Xenopus tropicalis: one gene and its partners. The protein of the gene in region 5 interacts with the protein of the main gene of each other region in a pairwise test. Links are inferred from orthologs where the notes say so. Each region holds a gene or a part of one and is shown on either strand. Other genes may lie near its edges. The genes, in order: nell2, mgat5b, slit1, chrd.1, hoxa1, ccn3 and rgs17.

Region 1 (4,495 bases), on a different chromosome or scaffold from region 5:
ACCATTCAAAAAAGCAAATACTAATTGCCTGCAAATTATGACCTAAAAGCACAAACAGAGTAGGTTAAGTCAATCACCTATAAAATCTGGGAGCTGTTATTAAAGTGCATTTAGCAAGGAAAATTATTTCCAGTCAGAGCTACCCCAGTAATTGTGCACTTTATTATGTGCATTTGATTTTTCAGATGATTAGGTAACACCTGTCAATAAGGGAAGAGTAGACTGGTGGCCTATTAAGCCTCCACAATAATACGATCCACCACAACAGCCATGTCAACCAACATACATTGTGCAGGGACACATATTGGGAGTTTTTGTCTGTACAAAGAAATGTTGAAAAGAACAAATGCTAATGTGGGGCTGCAGAGGAAGATATTTTAGCCCATACTGAGGGAATGCAATACAATCCTAAATCTACACCGTTAATGTTTGTCCAGGGTACCTACAGCACACAGGGATGTAACATACGCTCACCTTGCATAAAAATGTTTCTGGGCCTGTTGTATTCATTGTTATAGTTTTTTCAGTTTAGACAAAATCCGGGATGCAAAGTTAAGGTTCACCTTAAGTCTTAATATGCTATACAGGAACCTAATCTAAAGAATTATTCAGTTGGTCTTATTTTTTTTATTGTATGTTTCTAATCTGCTTCCTTCTAGCATGCAACTATAACTGTTATAAATCTTGTAGGGTCACTGACCCCAGAATGCAAAAACAGATTGATCTTGAGTCTTCAGCTTTAATATAATTAGGGTAATATGGCCCTGGCAACAAGAAAGCAATCTTAATGGTAAGCACGAAAGCTGCAAAACAAAAGAAAAACGCAAAAAACGGACTAATTGCACATCATGTTAGAACAGTATTGTCTACACTATATTACAATTAATTTTAAGGCTAACTACCCTTTTAGGACTGTAATAGCGCTTTTATTTCAGAATTATTTTCAGATTTTCCCTTTCTGTGCACACAGGATGAAACTTTCGGTAACCCATCTTTTTTTTTTTTTCCATAAGTCACAGGTTCCCAGCAGCATTAATCTCTCTGGCTGATCAGGGTAGCGTGTGTTATTATTCATTGCATCCCCAGACTCAAATCAACCATCTGCCAGCCTTAGTCCTGGTGTACATTAATTACGGGGCCATCAATCAGTGGGAAAGCAAACCTCTAGCAAAAGAACACTGACACTAAGTGGAGAAAGCTCAAATCTAAGGAGGATCATCTGCTCAGCAGCTCAGCTGCAAGTCACCAATCCCCTAATTGTAAAGTTAGAAATAATTGTGATCACAAACACTTCATTTGCTCAAATGTTCCTCTTGCACACAGGAGTATGATAAAGCCTGACCACTACCCCCACTGCACAGCCCTGAACAATACTAATCGGTACCACAAGGACCACTGCACATCTGTCCACTGGTTGCCATACTTCAGAAGGATGTGCTAGATCTATTATTTTTAGATCTGGACCATTGCCCCAAACAATGAAAACATAAATCTGTGTCACCTACAGATTATGTGAGCAAACTTGAAGTCTTGCTTTGGCCAGAGCAATAAAGTCCCTTAATGACTTTCATTTTTGGTTTTGCTGAATCTTGCAAAAAAAAATGCTGGGATTCTGCCAAACTGTAAAAGGAATTCTAGTTCATGCAAACCCCCTCTCCACTGTGTCACAATAATTTCTGTTGTAAACATACCCTTATGCACTTTACACAATCTGACCATCACATTATTTCATTTTAAACTGGTCCTCATTAAAAAAAGATCCAATTTTCACAAATTATGAAAGAGGGAGATGAAGCAAACAGGCAGAGAGAACAAAGATGCTCAGTAATGAGTTATCAGTGTATATATATATATATATATATATATATAGCCAGACAAAGGCCAACCAAAGCAGGCATGTCCAGCTGTTTGAGGCCCTCCAGCTGTTGTTGAACAATTAAAATCCCTGCACCCTCAGAAAGACATATATTGCAGATGGATGGGATGCTAGGAGGTTAGTAACAGACAGAGGATTTAGTGTTCCCTAAGGAATACCTTGAAAAAGGAAGGCTTTGCTCCGGTTATGGAATCCTTGAACCTGCTGCACTCCAGGGGTGGCCTCTCCCAGTTGGAAGTCCTCGAAGATGTCTATCTGCAGGGAGGGGTCCACACCAAAGCCTGCACCTGGCCAAGAAAGATAGCACCACCATTTACTGGGAGTGAGATTGGATTCTATCTATCTATCTATCTATCTATCTATCTATCTATCTAATCTTTCAACGGTTTAGGTACCTAATATAACTGCAGTTACCTGAATCCACTTCAGGGTACTGATATGACCTACTTTATCAATCAATACCCAAGAAACTTACATGTTCAACTTCAAATTCCAATCTCATCCCCTTTCCTATCAGTTTCATCCCTAATGTAAGCTCAGCAAAGAAAGCTGATGGCTTTAACTTTCTAAGGAAAGAAGGAGAGCTCTTACCTGCTCTGAGACAGAAAATAACGCAGAATATGCCCAATATAAACTCCATTCTGGCACCGATGCACTTAGTCCATAATCTCCGTGCCTGCTGCTAGTGTAGCGCTGCTGTGAGTGCCGGGCTCCCTCCTAGAACAGCACAGGCAGCCAGCGGATGAGCCAGCAACTTGGAATCCCCAGCGCTAGCATCATTAGCTCCAGCAGCACCCAGCTAGGCAGGGCTGCCCAATAAGTGCCCGGCGGCAGCCTCGGTCCGACCCCTACCCACCCCACAGCAGGGACTCGGGGACTCGGGAACGATCTGCCTGCAAAGGGGAATCTGGGGAACAGGGAAATCCTCGCTCCGAACCTGTTAGAGACAATGGATATTCCTCTCCGCCGGAGCTGCTCGGAGAGCCACACTAATTGCTACTCCAGGGATTCAGGAGGGAGGGGGAGGCACAGGCTCCACTGTCCCTTTTCTCTGAGGGAGTGAACAAGCGCCCCTTCCAGCAGCTGATCTGAGCGTTTTTGCAGGCAGAATCCGACTGCTCAGCGGCACAGGTTGTGTCCTCTAGTGATTGGCATGGGGGTGGGTGAATGACTGGGCTTATTGGTACAAATGGGCATCCCTTCACATTACTAGGTGTGCCAGGCGCCGCGTTGCCCTGTTCTTTTTAAGCTCGTTTAGGAAAGAGCTGAATGCGCAGTACTGACTGGGGCTGGAGACGGGAACATTAAGATTAGTGGAGCACTATCAATATGATTTAGCTTTGTGCTTCAGTTCTCTTCCCAGTCCCACATACCATGTGTTTCCAGATCATCCTAATGGAGAAGTATTTTAGCCTCATGAAATATACAGGTATATCCTCCTTAGCAAGGCTGACATCATTGCTCTCAGTTCTACTGTTTAACTACAGGGCTTCCCCACTAAACATGTAATCCACTGTATTTAGGCTTATCTGCAGTGATGACTGAATAAGTATATGTTTTAATCCACATTTCTACTGTTAATTCTCCCCGCACATTTCATTTTTCTGCAATAAACTCATACTTTCCCAACTGATTTACACTAATTTGCTTTTATAATGAATACAATTTTGTTTTAGGAAAATAATAAAGGTTTGGGGGGATGAGGTTAGAAAATTATATAGATCAGTACATTAGTAAAAGCTTCTGGAAAATCAGCATATTATTAACTTAAACGAAAAAAAAAAACTCCCTGCCTTATTGTTTTAACTTTTGGGCTACAAAAATGGGCAGTCTAAAGGTGACCATATATGCTCCGATATTATTGTACGGAAAAAAATTGTACGATAATCGGTACATTGGTAGCCAGGGGCCTCCCATAAAACACTGGTAGCCAGGGTCCCCCTAAAACATTGCTGGTCCTCCTCCAGTGTCCTCATGTTATGGCCCACTCCCTGCTGCCTCCTGCTCCCCCACTGCTTCCTCCCGCTCCCCCCTAGCATCCTCAGCTCCCCTCCCCAGCATCCTCCACCTCCCCTCCAGCATTCTTGAGCTCCCCCCAGCATCCTCCCCAACATCCTCCAGCTCGTCCCAGCATCCTCCAGCTCGTCCCCAGCATCATCCAGCTCCCCTCCAGCATCCTCTCCAACATCCTCCAGCTACCCACAACATCCTCCAGCTCACCTAAGCATCCTCCCCAACATCCTCCAGCTCCCCCCAGCATCCTCCAGCTCCCCCCTCAGCATCCCACCCAGCATCCTCCAGCTCCCCCCAGTGTCCTTCCCAGCATCTTCCCCAACATCCTCCAGCTCCCCCCCAGTGTCCTCCCACTGGAAGATACCATTGCAGCACAGAGGCAGGTACATATCTGAATCTTGGCACAGGCAGGAAGAAACCATTGCAGCACAGAGCCAGGTACATATCTCAACCTGGGTACAGGCTGGAAGAAACCATTGCAGCACAGAGCCAGGTACATATCTCAACATCTGCACAGGCTGGAAGAAACCATTGCAGCACAGAGCCAGGTACATATCTCAACCTGGGCACAGGCCATAAAATACCATTGCACAGAGCCAGGTGCAT
Region 2 (3,901 bases), on a different chromosome or scaffold from region 5:
ATGCCGGCAGTACCAATATCCAAAATAACTGAGCTTCCTCACTCAGGGGCTCAGCCTAAGCATTGTGCTTTTAATTGTAGAAAGCCATTGAGGCCAACAAGGGAAGATGAAGGATCACCAGAAGGATGTGGCTTGTGTTCACCATGTGCCTGTAAGGTCAGTGCTTAGTATTGCCATATGCTGCAGCATAAAACCCCAGGGCTGGGACACAGCAGCTAATGGGATTGAGTAGAAAACTATTAAGGGTGCAGAATGTTTCCATGCTGTGCTCACTCCGATGGCCGTCGGCAGTACGACAGTGGCACATAGTGCTTGGCTCAAGAGCAATCCCGACACAAGGCTACTTGTCCAGGCTGATAGTCTCTGCAGGGGCACAGTCGTCGAAATTTGTTACTATGCCCGGAACAGCTGAACAGCAGTGGCTCCCTCTGCAGGTAACATTCACGGACCGCCAGGGACACCGCTGGGTAGAGGTGGCTCATCACGGACTCGGTGCTGTCACACAGAGCACCCAACCTACGGGAAACAGAAAAGTTGTCTCTGGGAGTTGGATTTTAACAACAACTGGGAAAGAGAGCTGCTGCTGCCACCATCATGTCCTACTGGCACCATCTTCAGGGTAACAATATGGCACCTCCTACCCATATGTATAAATACAAATATACAGAGAAGGAATGTTCTGGGCACACAATAAGCTGTACCCCTATACTGTACTGTCTAAGGGAAACACTATGGCACCCCCTACCCATATGTATAAATACAAATATACAGAGAAGGAATGTTCTGGGCACACAATAAGCTGTACCCCCATACTGTACTGTCTAAGGGAAACACTATGGCACCTCCTACCCATATGTATAAATACAAATATACAGAGAAGGAATGTTCTGGGCACACAATAAGCTGTACCCCCATACTGTACTGTCTAAGGGAAACACTATGGCACCCCCTACCCATATGTATAAATACAAATATACAGAGAAGGAATGTTCTGGGCACACAATAAGCTGTACCCCCATACTGTACTGTCTAAGGGAAACACTATGGCACCTCCTACCCATATGTATAAATACAAATATACAGAGAAGGAATGTTCTGGGCACACAATAAGCTGTACCCCCATACTGTACTGTCTAAGGGAAACACTATGGCACCCCCTACCCATATGTATAAATACAAATATACAGAGAAGGAATGTTCTGGGCACACAATAAGCTGTACCCCATACTGTACTGTCTAAGGGAAACACTATGGCACCCCCTACCCATATGTATAAATACAAATATACAGAGAAGGAATGTTCTGGGCACACAATAAGCTGTACCCCCATACTGTACTGTCTAAGGGAAACACTATGGCACCTCCTACCCATATGTATAAATACAAATATACAGAGAAGGAAAGTGCTATGCACTGAATAAGCTGTACCCCTATACTGTACTGTCTAAGGGAAACACTATGGCACCCCCTACCCATATGTATAAATACAAATATACAGAGAAGGAATGTTCTGGGCACACAATAAGCTGTACCCCCATACTGTACTGTCTAAGGGAAACACTATGGCACCTCCTACCCATATGTATAAATACAAATATACAGAGAAGGAAAGTGCTATGCACTGAATAAGCTACACTCGTATTGTCTGTTTTATGGAAAACCAATTAAATTTACATGGTGCCTCGAAACTGGCAGTACGTGTTCAGAGCAAGATCCAGATTTGATACTCAGGCATCCGAGCAATTGAATCAATTATTTATTGGATCATTGTGTAACTGAGTCTTGGCTACACAGAACAGCTGGTGTAAAGGAACGTACAGGGAACAGAATGTCCGTCTATCCCTGCCTGCCATAATATGTAGGTGGGAACCCTGATATATTGAATTTACAGAAGCCAAGCCGACCGCAGACTGGGCACCCAGCCTGGCAGCGCCATTGTATACTCACTGCTCTAGTAAGCGTTGCTGGTTGATGAAGATGAAGAAACTCGGCTCACAGACTAGATTGCGCTCCCAGCATGCATTGGTGCAGGATTCCCCTTCTTCCGACAGCCAAACCTGCATGGAAGTGACTGGGGGCCAGATATGGGGAAGGGGTACGTTCGGGGGCCACACCAGGTGTGTGTGATTAACGAGGAGCAAGGGAGGGGTGTGAAGGCCTTGGGACCCATTTATGGAATAGGGGGAGGACATAGAGGGTGAGCAAAACTCCTGAGGAGGAATGTACAGAATAGAAAAAAATAGGAGAAATGTGGGAGAAAGAGAGAAAAGAAGGGGACAGTAAAGCAGTGGAAAGGAAAATAAGGAAAAATGCAAGATACTCTGGGGGAGATTTAACAAAAGGTGCATAGTTTGCTACTAGTCTTGTAACCAATAGCAACAAATATGCAGGTAGCATTTACAGGTCAGATGTTTGGTTGCTATGGGTGAATACACCTGGGCAAACTGTGCCATTTATTATATTACCCTGTAGAAGTGTTAGATGCCTGACACTAAGGGAAGCCAAGAGCTGGCACGACAGCCGCTAGAACCACAAAATCACGGGGCCCTCAATGGGTTTAGCAAAAGGCGCATCCTCCACCACAGAGGAAGCAGTTCTTCAGCTTAACTGATGCAGCCAATTGCATATAAGATTCTTGCCATGTGACTAAACTGATGTCCTAATCACGACAAGCAGAGACAGATAGATAGATAGATAGATGATGATAGATAGATAGATAGATGATAGGATAACTTCAATCCATTTATTTGTAGACCCCAACTAAAAATAAATGCCTTTAACCTCTGATGAGCTAGGGACCCTTCCCCAGTATCCAAACATTGGTCCATCTTAATTTCTGAACCCCTCTTCTCAGCTTTCACTGCTATATCAAATGTAGAAGACACTTACCTGATGCTGAATGTAAGCATGGAGTCTCTGCAGCATTCCCTCGCTAGTGTATTCGTACGGTAAGTAGGGCTCCACCTATGGGAAATGGTGAGTTAGGTGTGTTATAGAGCTGGCCCGGACTGGCAATCTGTGGGTTCAGGCAAATGCCAGAGGGGCTGCTGTAAGGTGCCATAGACACTCACTATTTATTGGGCTGGGGGGGCTGTTTGTGCCTCTGGGTACTGGGAATGCCAGGACCCAGGCCCAGACTGGCAATCTGTGGGTTCAGGCAAATGCCAGAGGGGCTGCTGTAAGGTGCCATAGTCACTATTTATTGGGCTGGGGGGGCTGTTTGGGCCTCTGGGTACTTGGAATGCCAGGACCCAGGCCCAGACTGGCAATCTGTGGGTTCAGGCAAATGCCAGAGGGGCTGCTGTAAGGTGCCATAGACAGTCACTATTTATTGGGCTGGGGGGCTGTTTGGGCCTCTGGGTACTTGGAATGCCAGGACCCAGGCCCAGACTGGCAATCTGTGGGTTCAGGCAAATGCCAGAGGGGCTGCTGTAAGGTGCCATAGTCACTATTTATTGGGCTGGGGGTGCTGTTTGGGCCTCTGGGTACTGGGAATGCCAGGACCCAGGCCCAGACTGGCAATCTGTGGGTTCAGGCAAATGCCAGAGGGGCTGCTGTAAGGTGCCATAGTCAGTCACTATTTATTGGGCTGGGGGGGCTGTTTGTGCCTCTGGGTACTGGGAATGCCAGGACCCAGGCCCAGACTGGCAATCTGTGGGTTCAGGCAAATGCCAGAGGGGGCTGCTGTAAGGTGCCATAGTCCACTATTTATTGGGCTGGGGGGCTGTTTGGGCCTCTGGGTACTTGGAATGCCAGGACCCAGGCCCAGACTGGCAATCTGTGGGTTCAGGCAAATGCCAGAGGGGCTGCTGTAAGGTGCCATAGACACTCACTATTTATTGGGCTGGGGGGCTGTTTGGGCCTCTGGGTACTGGGAATGCCAGGGCCTATTTAAAATCCC
Region 3 (3,901 bases), on a different chromosome or scaffold from region 5:
TTTCCTAAATTGGGCAGGCAGTTTTGACCCAGACAGCCCTCCCAAAAACAAGACTGTCCAGGTCGAAACAGACAGGTGGTAATCCTAATGATATTTATGGAACAATGTTATAGGTCAGGATTGTACAGAAAGCTATAACTATGTCAGACGCTTGTGTGATTGGTGCACATTGTGGCCGCATTGTTACATGTCCCATTCCCTCGCTAAAGTATAACTTCCTTTTTGTTTAGTTTGGATACACTCTGTCACCATTACTCACCTGTATGAATGTTACTAGTGGCTCTTTTGTATAAAGCAATATGTATTTCAGTTTCCCTTTGCCAGGGAAAAACACAATACATCCCAGCCAGCTCTATATATAATACACTTGAGCAAAAGCAGAATTAAATTTACATTTTAATAATGTTAAAGGGACAATAATGCTAAAATATTTGTTGTTTGAAAGGGCAAGTTGCAACATTAACAAATAATATAAAAAGTTTTATTAAATGGTACCAATGAAAAAATATTCTGGTTTGCTGGGGGGGCAGTTCTCCTTGATCTCTAGACAAAGTGAGGCCTGCAAAAGGGACCCCCCCAGTTTGTTTGAAAAGAACACAAGCTGTTTAATTTTGTCAACATAGAAACCTGTGAATAGAACAACAAGGTCAGATATATTTTGTGAGACCAACCAGTACTTTAGCATTAGGGCCCCATTAGTCTCTCCTTAATGCTGTTTCTCATGGAATTTGTGGAGCTAATAGAAAGGTAATGTTAGCAAAGTGCCCTACGGTCTTCTTTAATAGTCCATATAAGCAGGCTTTACTCTATAGAGTGACAGTGAGGAATGCTATGGGTACTGGCACATTGAGTGATCTGTCACCCAAAGTAATCTGCGCTACCACGGGCTGCCTTAGCAATGAGGCCTAATCACGGGAAAATGCAAAAGAAGGTAAGTAAACGGGAAAGTATTTTTAGGAGATTTGTTGCCCACAGGTGACATCTCCCCATGTGCCAGTACCCTAAGCAGGGCTGCCCTTAGTATAAGAGGGGCCCCGGGGTAATACAGACTGTATATTGTTTATATAATAGTATTGTCTGTCTGATGGGCCTTCAGCTATTGCCAGAACCATCTGAAAACTAAGGGCCAACTCACAATAGGTGTTTTCTCTCCCGGAATAAAACTCCGATCAGCGTTCTCCCACCACAACACTAATGTGCACCAACGGCCATGACACTGTCTGTCCACTAAGTGATTGATTCCATGGTTGGCAGTGAACAGTGATGTTGGGGCAGAAGGAAGTGGATCAAAAACGCCTTGTGTAATGTGGGCCTAAAGGTCTGCAAGTGTGGCAACACAAGTGTTATTAGTGGTGCTACACCAGCAAATACATGGCCGACTACATTCAGCAGTGCTGCATTGGTGAGGGGGTGAGGGGTGGGGGGGGCGGCGGGTGTGATAATTAAGACTGATCAGCAGCGGAGATAATGATGAGGAAAGGGATGGGATTTATAGGGTATTACAAATTTACCAGTGCTGGCCCTAGCTAGTGATTTACCCCCTCAGCCAGTTAGCTACCAGGTGGCAACTCTAAGGGCATGTCTTGGCACCCCTTAGTGCTCTAGCACTTGCCCCCCCAACAAGTACTCTAGCATTTGCCCTCCACTTGCGCCCCAGGGAAAAGTAAATGACCCCTGTTGTTTCCATCTTGCTTTTCTATCATTCCCCAAATCATGTCTTTCTCTTCCTACCCACAACACCTGTATGGGCCCCCACATCTGTAAGGCCCTAAACATTGCCCCTACTATCATCTCCCTTAAAACTGCTTTGCTGCTGTTAGTGAATTGTATGTACGATTTTTATATATAATATTTATAACTTGCAGCCGGATTTTCCTGTGTTGGCTCATAGGGAAGCCTAGCTGATAATGATATTTAGGGGTAGAAGAAAAAAAAGGCTTATAAATATAAAATCACATTAGTCAATCCCTTTTCACTGAGCAGAAAGTGCTTTATGAAAGTGATGTGCCCCTCGTCACAATGGGTTTTTTTTTCCCCAGCAGAAATGACAGATCAGAAAAGAATACTTGTCGAACGCTCTGAGCTATACAAAACAGATGTAATACTGCCACAATGGTTACAAAATGATCTACCTTAAAAAAATGGAAAAATAAAATACAGACCTTCCTTCTTGTTCCATGTAAATCTATCCACATTGTGTATAAATACATTTGTGTGTTTTTTTAAAAAAATCTCTATCTACACATTTTACCCTCTACATATATACCTCCTCTATACCTTTTCTCCAATGATTACAACACTATACAACCAGTCAGCATGTGCGTGTGCCTCTTAATGCAATAGGTGCTGTTTATACATATATTTTTTTTAAATGCCACAGACATCAAGATATTCACGCATCTGAAAGGGGAGCAGAAGTCCAGTTTTACAGAATGTAATTGTCCAGGTTTATTCTTGGATATTTTCTTTTTGTCTGGTGTGATCTTGTACAGTCCAGTTCAACGTGTTTTACACACACTGAGCACACCCACATTTAATGGGTTTCTCTACATCTTCCACAAAGGAGGATCCGTCGCTGCACTCGAAAGTGTACTTCCGGCGCTTCATGCGTAATCCAGTGCAGCAGCCCTGATTGTGGCAGGAACCACGGCATTCCACCCAGGACACGGTGCGTGTGGTTTGGCAAATGGCATAGCCTCGCTGTACTTGGTAATAATCCCGCACGGGCTCCCCTCGGCATTCCGATTCTACAAGTGAAAATACACTGATAAAAGATGTGATTTAAGGAACAAGTGGAGTGAAAGGATCTATTGGGGGACATTCATGGGCTCAGACACAAAAATTCTTATATGGGAATATGCCCCAAACAACAACTTTTCTCTGACATTACGACCAAACACACACAGACTTTGGGGCCTTGCAAACCAGAAAAATCATATGCAGAGCAAAGAGGTACGGTTGCCCAAGACCAGGCCCGGACTAGGGTGCAAATAGGCCCTGGCATTTCAAGTACACAGAGGCCCAAACCACCCCCCACAGGCCCAATAAATAGTGACTGTCTATGGCATCTTACAGCAGCCCCTCTAGTATTTGCCAGATTCCACAGAATCCACCAAAACAAGTACCTTTTGCCCCATACCTGCTCACCATAACAGACCCCCCCTTTCAATTGCTACCCCAGACCACAGCCCCACACACTTTCCATGGCGGCTGCCTCTATTCCCTAACACTAGTTCGAGCCCTGCTGCTATGATGAAGTGGCTGCTTTGTATATTTAAGGGGTTATAGTAGTATACCCAAAGTTTTCCCCCAGTCCAATAACTCAAACTGGCTCTCAATGATACTGGATATCATTGCATTGCATTAAACCCACAAAACAATTTTACAGCCAGTAGGTTGCTATGGTTTTCAGTACCGGGGAAAACGTTGGCCCACAATGACTTCAATGAGAGAAAAAAAATCTTTTAATTCAGTTCCAGTCTTCCCCCATAAGGCAATTATTTACAAATCAAATCTAGTCTGGCCCTTTATGTGAATAAACAGGTTTAGCAGGAACTATCTGACAGGAAACCAAAGAATGTGCCATTTACAAAGCAACAGTTAAGTTATAGTGTTTCATGAATGAAATGTTATTAGTTGTGTCCATGTGTGGCTTATTTGTCTTTAGAAGGTATGCCTCAGGGTGTGTACATATTCTACTGAACAACCCACCCCTTTAGTCTAGTCCAAGAGAAGCACATTCATCCTGTTTTTAGTTACTGCTTTCTTTTTTTACCAAAATTAAAGAATTAAGGATTGTTTCATTATTTGGGACCCAGCAAGGTCACTGAGGGCCAGGTAGGTTGAGGAAGGAGGTAGAGCGCTTGTGCTCCACATAACTTAGCCACTGATCTGTGGGGTT
Region 4 (4,587 bases), on a different chromosome or scaffold from region 5:
ATCCTCCAGAGAGTAAAATTTTCCACCAAACGTACAACCTGAAATATAAAAAAAAGATTAGACACAGTCCCCTGGATTAGTTTTCCTAGTCAATGACCCTCTCAGAGCAGTTCTCACAAAAAAAAGCCCTTGAGAATGGTGTACATAATGGCTGCAAACCCAAGAGCATGTAGTGAATGAATTTCACATAGCATTACATGGCATGACTGGATCTGACTGTTAGCAGTTGTAGTCCTGTAACATCTGAGGACACAAGGTGAATTAATGTTCTGCAAATGGATCCCTTACTGCTTTCTAACTTTTTCAGTGCAGAAGGCAGATTACACCTCCCCACCTCCAGTTAAACAGCCATGCCTTCCATTATCAAATGCAGCAACAATGTTGCAAAGAAGAAAACATATAATAACAATATGAATAATAATAATCCTTAGATCCATCTAAGTAACACAACTAACATTTATTTCCTCAGAGAACTACATAAATTGTAACCAAAACGAAACGAAAAAGATTAGATCCCTCAAAACCCAGCAAATGGTGAAAGGATTCCACTGAAGAGCATATAGACTGGATCCAATGAGAATAGTGTCTACATGCCAAAGAAGGCCCCATACAACAACCCCAAAATGCAGAGCATTAAGCTAAGTCCTCTCCCTTCTGGAAGATATTAAAGTGAGGTTGGTGCAGCTGTTGGCCGCTCTGTATTTTGCTGATTTCTGGCAGAAGTTCTGGGAGTGTGAAGAGACTATACCCGAGCCAGACGCTGCCTCTGAGGTACCGTAACCAGACAAAAAAACAAAATGTTGCTCCAACCGAATCACACAAACAGTTCCCACTAACCCCTACAACACCATGCACAGCAAAACAAACATAGCATGCACATGCCACAGCCTGCAGAAAAACATGCAACACTTATGTCAGCAACAGGCAATAGTTTGGAAAGAAACAAACAAGCAAATTCATCAGCCCCCTGAGAACATCTGCTTGAGCATGTGGGAGAAACTAGGAGATGTGTGACAGCACGCAAAGCAACCTGCACATCACACGTTGCTCAATGCATGCAATTTGTAGGTAGAACACACAGGAATGTTAACATCAACACATGCTGACTGAAAAAACATGAGTAAAATAAATCAGTAACATGTAAATTACTAAGAACATACCAGGGAAAAAGAGTCTGTAAACAAATGGGTATGCCCTGTGACATGCAGGGAAAGGCTAATTGACATCTATGTTTTCTAAGTTAAGCATTTAATCTTCCATGTAGGTTGGCCACCATACCACAACTTGTGGAGCACCTTAAAAATATGCATGGGGGAGCATGGAAAGGTGTAGAAGTGTCCTGTATTTAATGTAAAATTGTCTTTTGAATTTGCCCTTACAAATGTTTTCAGGAGCTGCTGGGAATTGTAGTACAACAAATGGAAGGCCTCAGACTGACAGAAAACATGAATGATGGCAAAAGTGTACATGAACAAGATGGAGAATCAGTGCATGCTATGCAGAAAGCATGAGGAAGAATATATAGTCACAGTATGACTAACAAGAAAGCCATTGCCTTGCTGCTTTTATAAAATTGACTATCCTTTCTGTATAACAGAAGGGAATGATAAGGGCAGTGGTGCAGACAAGGGCAGTTTGGTGGGGTTACACTGAGTGTACAATTGATGGGGGGGGGGATATACACTGTGAGGTTTCATGTCCAGAACCCCAAATATCCATCTGGGACATGACTGAGCAGAACTCTGGCAGCTGAAGAGCTCTGTGTAATGGGCTGAGTTACATAAACATTCCCTCATAGCAACTAATAAGCAAATCTCTTCCTATGGGAGCGATTAGTGTGACAGCACATTCCCTAAGTCTGCTCTAAGCTCTGCTTCGCTCCAATAACAGCTCTGCTTCTTCTCCTCACAAAACTTCAGCGGGAAACTGCCTGACCCCCAAGGTCACTGACACTTACTGAACCTCCCGTTCGTGTTGGGAGGAATCCAACCTCTTGTTGTAACTCTTTATGGCAGGCATGTCCAACCTGCGACCCTTCTGCTGCTGTTTAACTACAAATCTCTGCATCACCGTGTGATAAAGATAGGCTGCTGCTGGGTGCCGCTATACAACCGCAGCTGATGGGCAGGTTGTGCGAATGGATATGTCTGGGCACTACTAATGTGGCATCCTAAGGATTTAGGCATACTACTGATCACTGCCCTGGGCACTACTAATGTGGCATCCTAAGGATTTAGGGTTACTACTGATCACTGCCCTGGGCACTACTAATGTGGCATCCTAAGGATTTAGGGTTACTACTGATCACTGCCCTGGGCACTACTAATGTGGCATCCTAAGGATTTAGGGTTACTACTGATCACTGCCCTGGGCACTACTAATGTGGCATCCTAAGGATTTAGGGTTACTACTGATCACTGCCCTGGGCACTACTAATGTGGCATCCTAAGAAATTAGGGTTACTACTGATGACTGCCCTAGCTGCTACAACTGAGGTTTAAGAACCCCAATTAATACAATGTACTCCCTGCAGTAGAACTGCAGCCCCCCAATAACTACCGTCACCCAATTGTCACTCACCTGCTGGTGTCTTAGATTGGAGGGGCTCCTGTTCAGGCTGAATGGGCAGGAAAACCTTTGGGCGAGAGCAATCCACAGCCATAATCCACAGGGTCCACAGAAGTAAGATGGGGGAACAAAGCATTTTTGTGGTAGCCCCGAGCAAGCTCAGTGAGTCCAAAGAGTTGAGGATTGTATAGTGACCGTTTAGTGTATATGCCCTGCACTATACCCAGCAAACTGTTACTTGTCTCTGGCTCTCTGGGTCACATCCCCGGTACATGTGCTATGTACCCTTCCCTTGTGCCAACAGGCAACACTGCGCCACACACACTCCAGTAGTGAATAGAGCGCTCTCTGCTATCCGGACCAGTCACTTCTGCACAGCAGGTACCAATGTCCGGAGGGGACAGTTCTGTCCAGTGTCCGATGAGTCTTCTGATGGCTCAGTGGGACTAGCGCAGGATTTATAGGCGGGGGCACAGCGAGCAAACAAAGCCCCCCACCCGGCCCCCTTTCCAATTTTGCCGAAGTATATTGCACTCACTCTGGGAGTTGATGAGTCGCTCAGCGGGGTCTCTGCCCAAGGAAAGTGTCTCTTAACAGCATTGAATAGCCCAGCGGGGAGCAGCGGGAGCTCTCGACTACCCCCTAACCCGACACACTCAGACACAGCATCCTGACTCAGCCTGGACCCACCCAGGAGAGAGGGAAGAGGATGAGCACAAATGGAGAGAAAGAGGGATACAGAGAGAGAGACAGAAGTGGGGGACATGCAGATAATTGCATGTGGGAAAGCTACATAGAATTTGACAAGATTTGGGGAATAATCAGTATGGCATGGAAATAAAATGGGGGGATAGAAGTATTAGGGGAGGCATATTAATATAGAGAGGGAGATATCAGGCAGAATATGCAAAGAGGGAGAAGTGGATCAGGGGTGATATTGAAAGTCAGAATTGAAGTAGAGAGTGTGATTCAGAAAAAGGGATGTTGCCCAGGGAGATAGTTGCAAGAAAGTGAAGAGTGGAGAAGAGAGAGTATGTTATGTAATGGGAAAAGAGAAGCAGAGGGAGAGAGTTATAAAATTACAGAAAATGAGAAGAGGAGCAGAGAAAGTAATACAGAAAAGCATATGTGAAGCAGACTGAGAGAGTAGTACAAAAAAAGGAGAAATAGAGCAGAATGACTGACAAGTAGGAGAAGTAAAGCAGACAGTGTTACTGAAAGGGACAAGAGGGGCAGAAGTGGGTGTGATACAGATAACAAAAAGTTGGATGAAGAGTGTGATACATACATTTAGATTTAGTGCACAAGATGAGCACATAGAGAAATTCTGGATAAGAGGAAAACTGAGCAAATGGAGAATCAGAAATAAAGCAATATGGGTTAAGGGGCAGAGCAACAGCTCTACAGAACATTCTGTAAAGATTCCAGAAAGATGAGGGAATTTACTGTAAAGGACAGAAGCATGGGGAAGGAAAACCAGGAGAGGGAGATGTAAGATAAAGATCATATGAAATAGAAAATGCTCTGGCAATAAAAAATAAGTAATAAAAAGGACTAAAAGAACAGTTATAGGGAAGACTCTTATGTGCTTATGGATATTATACTGTATGTGTGAGGGCTTCAACTTAAAAATAAGGGAGGTGAAAAAAACAGGCTAGTGTAGCACACACATATTGTTGCTGTACCAGGCCTGAGCAGCCCCTCTAAACTATACATTAAAGTTCTTTCTGGTTGTTACTGTAAAAAATGCCTTTTTCTCTTTTTAAACCAATAAACCTTACTGAATAGTATATATTATTAAATACGTGTTGCCAAATACAAGGAAATATGGAGCAAAATAACCAATTCCATTACATAATCTGTCCAGTTCAGAGATTTCATTCAACATTTGCTAATTCATGTTAGTTTTATTCACATTAAAGCATTCATAATTAATTGTAGCTTGAGAAGTTAGTAGGAATTGAAGAGTAGGTGGCCATTAGGGTACTGAAGCAAAGTCAGTCTGCGAGCTACTGAGTC
Region 5 (4,248 bases):
TTGATGTTGTCCTGGTGATCTCGACTCCGCCGTGTTTCTTTAGATATTATTTGAGATAGCAGCGAGATCCTGCTGATATGCAGATTGCATTTAACACATAAAAGTACAGTATGCGGAGCCATCTGGTTGTGCCTTGCCTCTAACTCCAACAAACAAAAAAAAACAGCAGAAGTGGAAGAATGAAAGAAAGTTCTGCATTTACTTTGAAGTTTAGCTGCATCCACTTTAAATAGCGCCATTAGTATCAGCGTCATTCTGCCCGCAAATTCTGCAATTTACTAATTCGTTCCAGCGTCACATCGCAATGCACTAACAAGTACAGTAATAATTTAATAAGTACTTTACGACAGGGGATTAGATAGATTTCAGAATAATGTTCTTATTATTGAGGGGGTGGGATGAGAAACTGAAAATATATCCCTCGAGCCTCCCAAAGATGTGAAGCTTTGTGTTTATAGGGGAGGAGGTGAGGAAAGACTGGTTGAAGAAGCGTCTGGCATTTTTGTCAGGCACCAGTGTTTACACATGTCAGTAGTGAGTTTGGGGTGAAAAGTTCAGCTGAGCTTGACCCAAGGTGTTTCTACAGTTGTTAGACAGGAGATAGTGGAGAACCCATAAAAATGGCGCAAAACGAATAAAAACGAAACGTTGGCGCAAAGAGTTAAATTCGCTCTGCCGGGAGACGCAATTTTTGCGTTTGTTGTGATTATGAATTACAACTTTTTTGCCCTGGGACCCTCATCTACAAGACCTCCTGGTTTTGATGGAAATTCTTTAACCTTTTACATGCTGCCCAATAAAATGCACACTAGTTTAGTCAGAGGTAGCATACAAATGTTTTATTGACAAATTCCAACTGATAAAACTCAGTTTACATTCGGTGTCATGCAAGGGTTCGCGATGGAATCACAAATTATACACACATTTGGTCTTACAAGACATTCACTTAAAGGCGATTTAGAAGCGTTTCTCTTGGATCAGAGAACGAGTGGTTTTGTTTGGATAAATACCCTGGATACTGGACGATCTAGCACGATTTCCTGACAAACAAAACACACAATATTCACCTAAAATCATGACTGTAAACACCTAGTAAATGTGAGAGATTACTGAGGTATGCGGTCAGCAAACACTGCTGTCTTTTCCTGTGCTAGAAAACTTTGAGATTCTTCCAACCACTCCACCATCTGATAATTATTAGAATTTCTACAAAAACACTTGAAAGATAAATCTCTGGAACAATATATGTACACTCTTTTCACATACAGACACCATAGAACTTTAAATTAAATAGAAGTCTTTTAACTTGTGTAAACTTTTTCTCTATTAGTAGTGCATCAGTCCTTGAGGATCTGCAACCAGTGATTTCCCAGTAAAAAGTCCCAGCAGGAATGTCCCTCATATGGATTGTCCATAGCAGCTCATAGCAAGAGACAGTTAGTGTGACACATGCCAAAACAGGTTTTAGTTAACTTGGGTATTTTAGCTCAAAACGAAAATGACTTTTCAAACTTGTGCAAAAATATAATCTTAATGGTACCAGCTGAAATTCTGGCATAAACAATAGACAACTAAAATCACTGCTAAGGCTTTGGTTGATCAATCGAGCACAGGCAATGCCTTCAGCCTTCTAACCGGAAGTACTGAGATGATCTGAAGTAGAGGAGGCAGGAGATGGAGCACAGGGTGAAGAATTGGACTTTTCTGACAGCTCCTCTGACTTTTCATCGCTTCCTGTACTGGCTGATGGGGAGATGGGGAGAAGTCCTTCTTTTTCCCTTTTTTTCTGTTTCATCCTCCTGTTCTGGAACCAGATTTTTACTTGGGTCTCATTGAGCTGTAGAGCAGCAGCAATTTCTACCCTGCGGGCCCTGGTCAAGTACTTGTTGAAATGAAATTCTTTCTCTAGTTCTGTCAGCTGTTTGGTGGTGAAGTTGGTCCTGGCTGTGTTGGGCTGGCCGGCAAAGCCATATTCCCCAGCTTTACCTGAAATAAAAAAAGTCAGGGTTATAATCCATATGGAATGTGAGAAATGTAGCAGCCAACAACCCCAGTGTTATGGGGGTGCCTTTTCTACCGTTACTGACTGTATTATACAGTCACAAACTGTTACATTCCATTTGTACCCCCACCCACTAACTTATAGGGCAACATCAACATAAAGAATAATAGATCATGATCATGATGATAGATAGATAGATAGATAGATAGATAGATAGATAGATAGATAGATAGATGATAGATAAAGATTTACTTGATAAAACAAGGGCGCCTTAATAGAGTAAGTGGGTGTAGAAAGGGTAGACATTACCTGTTTTGGGTGGGTTTCTCTTTACTTTCATCCAGTCAAAGGTCTGTGCAGGGCCCGGGGATGTTTCGCTGGAAGGAGACCGGCAAACTTCTCTCTGGCTGATATGTAGGCTGGATACATTGTTATTGTAATTGGCCACAGAAATGTTCTGGTCAGGTCCGTAGGAATGGTGGATATAGTGAGCGGATCCTTCGATGTAAGACTGGTGTTGGTGATGCTGGACCACAGACGAAGCGATGTTGCCGGAGTAGACAGATTGGGGGAACCCTGCGCTCACATCTGCCTCTTGATTGATGGGGAAATGAGAGTAGCCGGGGCTGAAGTTCTGCATGCCATAGTTGGAGCCACAGCTGGTATGAGTATAAGACATCCCCAGGTTGTTGTGGTGCTGAAAGGCACCGGCTTGGTGGTGGTGGTGATGGGGGTGAGAACTTATCTGCACCCCTCGTCCGACCACAAAACGATCATCGCTGTTGCAGTTATTAGCACTGACTGCGCACGACTGGAAAGTTGTAATTCCATGGTCGGGGTGGAAGGATCTGGAGGAGCAGGTCCCGAGGTCGCCGCTCATTAAGCCCGGGTACTCTAGGAAGGAGCTCATCCTCGCATAGTCCATCTATCACTAGGTGACTGTGACACAGAGCCTGGCGTGGCCGTGCCAACTTTCTCACTTCCTCCATAGGTCCAGCACAAAATCATATGAATGTACAGTGAGGGCAGGTCACGTGGAGAGGCCAGCCAATGGCAGCAGCGACAGATAAAGTTTGCCTACACTAACTGGTGATGGATCGGCCCTACACTTGCATTTAAATTCCAGGCGCTGCTCTATCCAGGTGACGCACACGGCTGGGAGTACAGTGCACTGAGAGAGCAGCGGCCAAGTCGCACAGTCCTCTCTACCCGGGAACCGCCACAGTGCAGATGTCAGAGCCGGGGGCACCCGAAGAACCCCCTAACCCGGTAAGGAGCAAATAGTGATTGGTCAGGGGGATTTGGGGATACAACTGTGTGTCAGTGGGTGTCTAAAAATACACAGGTATGGGTATTAGTGAGAGACACTGTAGTGTGTAGTGGGTGTGAGTCTAAGCATTTCTGTTTTAGATAGATGATAGATGATAGATAGATAGATAGATAGATAGATAGATAGATGATATATAGATAGATAGATAGATAGATAGATAGATAGATAGATAGATAGATAGATAGATGATAGATAGATAGATATAGATAGATAGATAGATAGATAGATAGATAGATAGATAGATAGACAGTGTATGTAAGACAATATAGGACAATTGCAGTGTACACGGAATAGGAACAAATATGCAGATACCTGTAGTTCAGCTTTGTGTGTGTCCATGCATTCCTGTTTTGGATAAGTGTATCTTGTAGATAGAGAGGCAGACAGGCAGACACTAGATAGAGATAGATAATTACAGATAGGTAGATAGATGATGATAGATAGATAGATAGTACACAATATCGGACAATTGCACTGTACACAAAAATGAACAAACATGCACATAGGTAGGGTTCAGCTTTGTGTGTGTCTATGCATAAGTGTAGTTCTACATTTATTGCTGGTCTTTGAAGACTGATTGATCCTCTCATTGATTTGCTCTACACTTGTCCGACTGATCACACCGTGCATTTTTACACTATATCTGGGAATCTTCCTTAACCCATTCAATGCCAGAGCAAAGCATAGGCAGGCTCTATATGTACAGCTGGTCACTAGCAGCCACGCCTCACTTCTTTAGTACAGAGGATAGAACAGTCAATATTACCATGGTAATAACGAGTTTGTCATGGAAAGCTCTGGCTTCTTCTCCTTTGGTTGTACAATAATCCCTTGGGCACTACAGCAAAATCATCTGGACAAAGATTATTGTATGTGCATAGTCCTGTCAAAAATGTGTGGTCACAATGTTGATTGT
Region 6 (4,420 bases), about 96 Mb from region 5:
GCCAGGACTAGGACAAGGAATTTCATAGAACTGGGACCAGGCTTCATCAGATTTTTGGTCTTTTACCCACTGTCTACATTTATAATGTCTCACCCACAATAAGCCTGGTGCTACAAAATGCACCCCCCCCCCATGGAGTGACCATTTGATTGGCTGGTTTGAAGGTCCTAGGACTTTGCATAATGAACAAATGTTTTTTTTACATTTCAAAACAGCCCAGCATTAGGGCTCATTTACAACAGCTGCACCAAACACAATTTATATCTAATTCACCAATATGGTGCAAAACCTGGTGCAGGTTAGGTGAATTATTAGTTGCAGGGGTGCCAAGGTGGGTGTCCTTAAGTTTGCTGTATAAATTAGAGAGGTTCTGTGAGACCCACTTGGCGCCTATAGGTGCAATATACAAAGGGAACCCCGAGTTACTGCCCATTCAGGTGTAAATGAAAGGGCTCCCTTGTGCCAGGCTGCACTGTGCCTTGATCCCCAACATTGTCTTTAGCCGCCCCCTAACACCATTCCTTCAGTATAAGGGCAACAAAGGGCAATGGTGCCTAAACCCCTTGGGATGGGGCAGACCCATATTTTTTGGGAAATAGTGACACCACTTTGTGTTACAAATAAGAAAAGATGCGAGACTCACCGGCCATGGCAAAGCCACCGATCGCCATCTCCTCTTTGGAATCACAAACCCACTTCTCGCAGCATTCGCCGGGCACCTTCACCCTCCTTGGGAAAGGGCAGTCGGGGCCAGGGAGCATCAAGTCGAGGTTACAGCGGGGCACGCAGCCAATGTGGCCGTTCAGGCAAGTACAATGGTATTTACAGCTGGGCTGGAAGGTCGCTCTGTTGCGATACACCACCCCATCAAAGATGCAGTTGTTGCCTTCCAGAGCTGATTTATAAGCAGAGAAACAAGCGCTTACTGAGAGGATAAACAGGGACAGACAGTGCATTCAGTTTCCCCCATGCCTGGGGTATAGTTTGATCCCAATATATACACTGTCTGTGCACCCTGTACCTCTCATGTGTATACATGGAAATATACAGAGAAGGCTTATTCTGTGCACATAGGCCCTGATATTCTATAGTTTAGCTAAGGGGAAATCCATTAGTGCTAACCCTATTCCAGGTATATATTCTCTTTATTAACCTGGCCACATGTTATAACATGGTATGACACGTTCCCACACCTTGTGTCTCAACCCTTTCTCCTTGTAGATTGTAAGCTCTTTTGGGCAGGGCTCTCTTCACCTCTTGTATCGGTTATTGATTGCTTTATATGTTACTCTGTATGTCCAATGTATGAAACCCACTTATTGTACAGCGCTGCAGGATATGTTGGTGCTTTACTTGTAGATTGTAAGCTCTTTTGGTCAGGGCCCTCTTCACCTCTTGTATCGGTTATCGATTGATTTATATGTTACTCTGTATGTCCAATGTATGAAACCCACTTATTGTACAGCGCTGCGGCATATGTTGGTGCTTTATAAATAAATGTTAATAATAAAAATAATAATATTAAAGTAGCAGAGTTTTCCCAGGCTTGTTGCCCATTGTGCCCAGCTTACCCATGCAGATGCCAGCCTCTGTCCTCGGGTCTGCATTGAATTCACAGTAAAGCCCTTTGTCCTCTTGGCAGGGGTGCATCTCAGAGCAGCTCTCTCCCTCCTGCCGGGCACACACTGGGCAGCAGGCACAACCATCTAGTACGAGTGGCACGGAGGGGGCGCAGCTGGGTGGTTCCTCAGGACACTGGTCACACTGGGACGGGCATCTCTGTGACGCCACCTGTACAATTCCATGAAACACAAATAAATAATATGCATAACAGCTGACCTGTAACGCTCAAGCTCTAATAGGATAAACTGTCATTGGGTACCAGAATCCCAGGGAGCAAATCAGCCTTGGCTTTGTGTTCTTTAAAGGGGAAATTCACCTAAATAACTTATTTGGGTCTTACAGGAGTAGGAAGTTATAAGGAGTTATATTTAAAAGCTGCTTCCCCTTGCCTTGCCCTTTGATGGGGGCCTGCAAACTGGTTGTTCATAAAAATGCCCCTGGCACAAGGGCAATCTGGTACCCCCCCGACACAATATTGGCACGGTTGGGTGATCTACAGGCTTCAGGGCAGTGTGTGCTCACTGTAAGCTCTTGAGTTGGAGGCAGTGCTAATATAGAGGTGCTGCCCATCAGAGCTGGCAGTGCCCCACAACAACAGCTGCCAACATAGAGAGACTACTCCTCTGCCAGGTCCAACAGGCTTGCAGTACTCAATGAAACAGTAAGTGGCTATGGTCAGGGGAGAGACATTATATGTTATAGGGTGGTGCCTCTCCTTCCACTTTAATTTTGAGTTGAGAGAACAGGTTTAGTTCCCCTTCAAACCCAGGTAGCAGTTTCAGGCTGAGAGACATATTACAAATATAAATCATTAAAAAATACAAAGAACCAAAGTACTAATTAACCAAGAGCAAAACAACTGTCTGTGCCTTCCTGCACTCCTGGTTCTGACTCTTGAAGTTATGATGCAGAAGTCAGTTCTCCTCCAGGTCTGCTACATTGTTTCAGCAGTCAGAACCAGCAATGCAGCGACTACAAACTGCCAGGCAGATACTGTGCAATTACATTGGCATAAAAATGCAAAACCACTGAAAATATTTCATTAACTTCAGAAAGTTGCTTAGAATTCCATGTTCTTAATGCAAAGATCCCCATTAAAAGGAACATGCAAGCTCATATAGAGAAAAGCAATAAAATGGCACTTACTTGTTGTAGGAGGAGGATGAAGCAGAGAGCCAGGCAGGGAGTCATGATTGCCAGAGCAGTGGTACAAGCAGGGAACTTCCACTCACTGTCAGTTTGTGTGAATGACACTCAGTGGCTCTGCCTGCCCATATATAGACTGGCTGCTAATCCTGCAGAAACCCTATTGGCTGAGGCTCCGGAACTGGGCGGTACCAAGTACATTTCTGCGGAGCTCATGGACCCAGCGTTTCCATTTGAGAGGTAATTGCGCTCAGTGGCCGCTAGATGGCGACATAACCCTCACCTGCTGAATGGTATTTGCGCTGCATTCATGGAAAGCGATTGCAGCCAAATAGCAGAGGAATTCTGTCTGTGATCATGAAAGCATTTTGTGTCAGAGGAACCAATTAGTCATGTACGTATGAGGAATGCAGCCCCAGACGTCTAGCAAAGTCTGAAGGGGATACACAGCCACAATGTGTACTGATGTCAGCTCTGCGGCCAGCTCTTACTGTAACCTTTATTCCTAAGCAAATGGACTGGCCAGGCTGCCCAACAAACCCTAGGGTGATATCTGCCTCGGCATGGTTTTCCCTGTATTAACCCTTTAGATTGTAAGCTCTTGTTAGTAGGGCCCTCTAGTCCTATTCTTAAGGTCCCCATACACGGGCCGATAGTAGCTGCTGATATGGGTCCCTTAGACAGAATCGGCAGCTTATCGGCCTGTGTAGGGGCAGGAACGAGGGGCATGCCCGACCAATATCTGCCTGAAATTGGCCAGATATCGATTGGCCAGGTTAAAAGATTTAGTCGGATCGGGGACCGTATCGGTTCATTGATGCGGTCCCGAACCAAGTGTGCCCATTGCTCCCTTTATAATTCAATTGTTTCGCCTACATTTTCCCAATATTGCCCACCCGTAGGTGGGGATATCGGGAGAAGATCCGGCGATCTTAACAAGAGATGTAGCGAACCATTCGCCGGCGAACTAATTGGCACGAACATCGGGTGTTCGCAAGTTTGGAAGTTCGCAAACTTTTCGCGATGTTCGCAATTTGGGTTCGCCTTAGGCGTTTTTCCGCTGCGTTAAAAAGCCTGACAAACAAATGCACCTCCTTGGCCTCCTGATCCCTTACTCACTGCAGATGATAAAACAATGCCAATTGCCCCATATTGTACAAATGAATAAACTTCCTATTCACAGCAAAGCCCAAGTCTGATTATTGCCCAAAAACATTCACAGGTTCTGGCAACTCATGTCATGGTGATCTAAACACCTAGCCCTGGATTTGTGGGAAGGCCACCAAGTAGTGTTGCCATCTTTTGTCAATGTTCTTACCAGTCAGGGTGGGGGCTGGGTCCATAATGGGGCGGTTCCTTGATGTCAGGGCAGGATTGTGATCTAATTGGGGGGCAGGGCATGATGGTGGACCACATTTAAGGGGATATAGGGAGCAAGGAAGGCTAGAAAATAAGCTTGTCGAAGGGATAGGAAGGGTGGAAGACAAGTTATTACAAATTTACCAGCAACTACAACTACTACTGGCCCCAGCCCTGGCTGCTATTTTATTGGTTAGGCTGGTGAAATACTGGCCAGGTGGCAACCCTACTACCAAGGCCTGGCCTCAGGGCTAGATTTAAAGAATTTGCACCACATGGCCTGATCAACCCC
Region 7 (3,909 bases), on a different chromosome or scaffold from region 5:
TTGTGTATGTGTGTGTGTGCATGTATATATATATATACAGGTATAGGATCCCTTATCTGGAAACCTGTTACCCTGAACGTTTCAAAATACGGAAAGGCCATCTCCCATAGACTCCATTGTAAGCAAATAATTATTTTCTCTTTAATAATAAAACAGTACCTTGTACTTGATCCCAACTAAGATATAATTCATCTTTAGAGGCAAAACAAGCCTTTTGGGTTTATTCAATACTTAAGTTATGGAGATCCAAATTACGGAGAGATCCCTTATCTGGAAAACCTCAGGTCCCGAGCATTCTGGATAACAGATTCCACACCTGTATATATTTTATATATACACTCAAAGCAATTTAAAAACCATAAAAAAATCTACCGTAAAGCAATACGAAGAATAACGTTTGGTTGTAATGCTGGTTTCTACAGATCCTTGTTACTAAGAATGTTTAGAAATGTGTAGAAGGATTGATATTTTACAACATTTTCAAAGTAGCTATTTTTAAAGTTAAAGTTTCTTTGTCAAAAAAAAAGTAGTTCTCATTCAGTCATAATAAAAGACATCTGTGTCATCAAAAGGTTTTCAAATGCTACATATAGGTAAACATCTTCATTTCTATTTTTCTTGAAATATTAAAGTATAAATATTTTTATTTTATTTTTTTTGCTGAAATACATAATGCTAGACAACAATGTTAAAACCGGTCGCCCAGTTTTACTTACATTTACAATGTACATAAATATGTTTTTTTTTTTTTGCTAGAACAATAAACAATATCAGCTGAAATATTTGGTCATCCATACAAGGTATCCTTTAGATTGCTTGTGCTTATTTGACATTGCAAACTCATTAATAAAAATATAAGAGAGCCACAGTTTGGCAGTGAACATCCGTGGAAATTCCACTTTAATTTCCTCCACACAAGGATAATTAGCTTTGCTTGTTTGTGTATTGGCTTGTTAGTATCCACTCTTTATACCACTGTAAAACACCATCTAATTGAAAATTGGATTATCCTAAAATGCCCATCTGAAGGAATACAAATCAAGCCAAAGTTTCATTTCAATATTTGAACATAATACTGTATTGCACATAAAATGTCAGTAACTACGTCGTTAATGCAATTGGCTATATATTGCAACAATGAATTGGTGTGTTGAGGACAGCTATTACCCTTGCACATGCAACATGAAATAAAACAAGGAGTCTGTTCATAGTCCACCCAATATATCATTGTAATGATATACTCAAGTAAATAGCATAGAAAACAAATGTGGCAATTCCAGTGTTGCTGTTTTTCAAACTCAAAGATGAAGAGCTTGTAAAAATGGAGACGGAGACCAAACAATTTTTAAAGTTATTCTTCACAGTAGCCTGAGTAGTGCACAAGTGGAGTTCTCCAGGAACTCAGTGTCTGATGGTAATAAACTACATATGTGTTCTGTTAAGAAAACAAGATATGTTATCCAGAGGTTTTAGCTAAGATTCAGTGATTGAGCCTTCTGTACTTTCAAGAAGAGACTTATAGACTTGTGAGTTCAAAAACCTTGGAAAAGAGTCTCTGTGCATCAATGTATAGATCTGAAGCTGGGCATCTTCGTACATATGGGGGGTAGGATCCAGCAAATTCCGGTTGATCACTTCACGCACTCTAGAGTCGAGGCTGACCTGTAGGCATGAAAATGAGCAAGTTATTGATTGCTAGTGTACAGTTTCACTGGGCATGTATAGTATTTTGTTTTCCTTTTCCGTGTTTTCATGGCAATATCAGTACATGGGAAGGCCAACTGTTCACAAATCAAATTTTTGAGTTTTTTTTCCTAATTCAGGAAAACTCAAAAAGCTTGAATGTGTGCTAATATATTAAAAAATGGAATTTCAAAAACTTGATATAAAACCATGAAAAAATGCTAAATCCCATAATACCTTTTAATGTGCCACATTTTAAATGAATCTCAAAAACTCAAATAAGTTTGCTCCAACTCCCATTGACGTCTACATGAACTCACAAGCTTCTTTTTCTGTTTGTGTTTTTGAGCATCAAGTTTTGGAAACCCAAATTTGAATTTATGTTTTTGTTGCAAAAATCTTAAATTGCAATAAAAACTTGAATTTGAATGTTTATAAAGCTTCCCCTTAGTTTAATGTCTGTAACAATATTGGCTTAAAGACGTCTATCCAATAAAACACCCTGTGTGTCATAAGACTAAATAAAAATGATTTCCAAGATTTCTCACATAGCATAAAGTCATCATTTACAAATGGAAACCTGTTCTTATGCCTTTTCCCTAAAGACAGTGTAAAAACTGAATTATGGATAGAATACTTTTGGTGCAAGAATGTAGCCATTTATTTGTGTTTGCAGGCACATTTGCAAATATTCTGTTTGCCTTTATTACAAAAGAGTCTAAGGAGCACCTGAATTTGACTTTTTACTGCAATCCTATTTTTTGGGGCAAAAATCACAAATTCGAGGTCCTGAAGCGTGAATTTTCGAAATTTATTATGCACAAAAACTCAAAAATAAAAGTCATTAGGAATTGTATTAGCAAGCTATTTTTCAATTAAAGTTTTCAAGACTAATTCAGAATTTAGTAGAATGTGATTTTACCACGTTCCAGTTTTTTTTTTTTCACAATTTCCACATTTTTTAAGATTCAAGTGTTTTACTAAAGGAGCACAGACTTGAGATTTTACATTTTTACGAATTGGAAAAAAAACCTTAGAAAAAGTCGAACTTAACATTTTTGATAAACCTGACAATCTTATGCAAAATAAACTCATGTTTTCTGACTTTCCCAACTGGATCATTTTATTTTAGCAAGGCTTGCTATAACCAACAGGTTTGATTCCAATGTCTTTGATTCCAATTGTTCATGCTGGTTATTCTAATAATCATTGGTAGGAAAACACTTTTGTAATGACAATCCCTTCTTGATTAACACTAAATTCAGCCAAATGTTCAATTTTTTTTGCTTAGGACATTGCTTTCCACCTTCCCAGCATAACACCATAGTTACTCTTCCATTTCCTAAACATATAGCAGATAGGCTTTGTATCAAAGTTTTTCGATTACTACTTGTTTTTTTATTACTCTATAAAAGTATTTTGATATGCTTGGGGATATTTTAGTTTAGTGAAAAGATAAGAGAACTTTAAAAGAAATGTGTAAGTCAGCTTCATGGCATATTGACACACTGCCAAGAGCATAAAAGATATATATACATGGGCTGGCTTTTGGCCATGCTATAAAATGTACTGCTTTTTTAAATAAAACAAAATCATATTTATCACTTATGAAGTCATAATATTCCATGCCGTCTACATTTCCCTTAACCCAGATCAAACGGAAATTTCTCCTTAATCTCTGCATTTTCTGGGTCCCTGGTGAGGTAATAAAGTCTTTCTCTACCTCTGCTATACACCCTTGTGTATCTCACGGTGCTGTGTTGCTTACTCACAGTTATAAAAGACAAGGTGATTGGACAGTGTCTGATCATCTATTGTTTTAATTTCTCTGGTGCTTATTATTTTCTCTTATAAGAAAACATAGAGAGGAAAAGGAACATGTCCAAGTATAGATATAATGACCTCTAACTGAGATCCTTAAAAAGCAAATGTGACTAATGTGGTCCTGGTTCAAAGTCAAACATTTTAGGCTGGTTTCAAAGGAAACCTCAGCCTACACATGATATTCATAGTGCTTCTCAGAGAACTTTTCAATTATAAATGCAGATGTTTCCAAAAAGTCAGAACTTCTGCTATATACTGTATATACAGCAAAAACGTTCTGCTCATAGGGTAGAGTCCTACTCACTAAACTACCACACTTTATTACATAAAGTATGTTTAAAGAATCTCATTGACAAAAGTGTAGAATGTACTTCTTGTGTATATATATATATATATTGTTAG

Evidence for each region.
Region 1: the proteins of hoxa1 (region 5) and nell2 interact in binary tests that used the Homo sapiens proteins (3 or more experiments, as listed by UniProt). The link is inferred for Xenopus tropicalis from reciprocal best matches to the Homo sapiens genes HOXA1 and NELL2.
Region 2: the proteins of hoxa1 (region 5) and mgat5b interact in a two-hybrid assay, tested with the Homo sapiens proteins (2 studies listed by BioGRID). The two-hybrid records come from large-scale screens. The link is inferred for Xenopus tropicalis from reciprocal best matches to the Homo sapiens genes HOXA1 and MGAT5B.
Region 3: the proteins of hoxa1 (region 5) and slit1 interact in binary tests that used the Homo sapiens proteins (3 or more experiments, as listed by UniProt). The link is inferred for Xenopus tropicalis from reciprocal best matches to the Homo sapiens genes HOXA1 and SLIT1.
Region 4: the proteins of hoxa1 (region 5) and chrd.1 interact in binary tests that used the Homo sapiens proteins (3 or more experiments, as listed by UniProt). The link is inferred for Xenopus tropicalis from reciprocal best matches to the Homo sapiens genes HOXA1 and CHRD.
Region 6: the proteins of hoxa1 (region 5) and ccn3 interact in binary tests that used the Homo sapiens proteins (3 or more experiments, as listed by UniProt). The link is inferred for Xenopus tropicalis from reciprocal best matches to the Homo sapiens genes HOXA1 and CCN3.
Region 7: the proteins of hoxa1 (region 5) and rgs17 interact in binary tests that used the Homo sapiens proteins (3 or more experiments, as listed by UniProt). The two-hybrid records come from large-scale screens. The link is inferred for Xenopus tropicalis from reciprocal best matches to the Homo sapiens genes HOXA1 and RGS17.

What each region holds. Positions count from the first base shown.
Region 1 is NC_030679.2:64,114,942-64,119,436, reverse strand, and holds the start of nell2 (protein kinase C-binding protein NELL2 precursor), read right to left. Parts: upstream 3,140-4,495; 5' UTR 2,517-3,139; coding exon 2,468-2,516; intron 2,164-2,467; coding exon 2,035-2,163; intron 1-2,034. UniProt on the Homo sapiens protein: Plays multiple roles in neural tissues, regulates neuronal proliferation, survival, differentiation, polarization, as well as axon guidance and synaptic functions.
Region 2 is NC_030686.2:45,623,295-45,627,195, reverse strand, and holds the end of mgat5b (alpha-1,6-mannosylglycoprotein 6-beta-N-acetylglucosaminyltransferase B), read right to left. Parts: intron 2,965-3,901; coding exon 2,890-2,964; intron 2,211-2,889; coding exon 1,948-2,210; intron 517-1,947; coding exon 318-516; 3' UTR 51-317; downstream 1-50. UniProt on the Homo sapiens protein: Glycosyltransferase that acts on alpha-linked mannose of N-glycans and O-mannosyl glycans.
Region 3 is NC_030683.2:32,333,637-32,337,537, forward strand, and holds the end of slit1 (slit homolog 1 protein precursor), read right to left. Parts: intron 2,748-3,901; coding exon 2,509-2,747; 3' UTR 379-2,508; downstream 1-378. UniProt on the Homo sapiens protein: Thought to act as molecular guidance cue in cellular migration, and function appears to be mediated by interaction with roundabout homolog receptors.
Region 4 is NC_030681.2:99,616,198-99,620,784, reverse strand, and holds the start of chrd.1 (chordin), read right to left. Parts: upstream 3,172-4,587; 5' UTR 2,705-3,171; coding exon 2,581-2,704; intron 39-2,580; coding exon 1-38. UniProt on the Homo sapiens protein: Dorsalizing factor. Key developmental protein that dorsalizes early vertebrate embryonic tissues by binding to ventralizing TGF-beta family bone morphogenetic proteins (BMPs) and sequestering them in latent complexes.
Region 5 is NC_030682.2:42,135,071-42,139,318, forward strand, and holds hoxa1 (homeobox protein Hox-A1), read right to left. Parts: upstream 2,970-4,248; 5' UTR 2,928-2,969; coding exon 2,312-2,927; intron 1,987-2,311; coding exon 1,631-1,986; 3' UTR 825-1,630; downstream 1-824. UniProt on the Homo sapiens protein: Sequence-specific transcription factor. Regulates multiple developmental processes including brainstem, inner and outer ear, abducens nerve and cardiovascular development and morphogenesis as well as cognition and behavior.
Region 6 is NC_030682.2:138,162,745-138,167,164, reverse strand, and holds the start of ccn3 (CCN family member 3), read right to left. Parts: upstream 2,856-4,420; 5' UTR 2,815-2,855; coding exon 2,770-2,814; intron 1,792-2,769; coding exon 1,572-1,791; intron 896-1,571; coding exon 644-895; intron 1-643. UniProt on the Homo sapiens protein: Immediate-early protein playing a role in various cellular processes including proliferation, adhesion, migration, differentiation and survival. Acts by binding to integrins or membrane receptors such as NOTCH1.
Region 7 is NC_030681.2:42,988,767-42,992,675, forward strand, and holds the end of rgs17 (regulator of G-protein signaling 17), read right to left. Parts: intron 1,663-3,909; coding exon 1,474-1,662; 3' UTR 607-1,473; downstream 1-606. UniProt on the Homo sapiens protein: Regulates G protein-coupled receptor signaling cascades, including signaling via muscarinic acetylcholine receptor CHRM2 and dopamine receptor DRD2.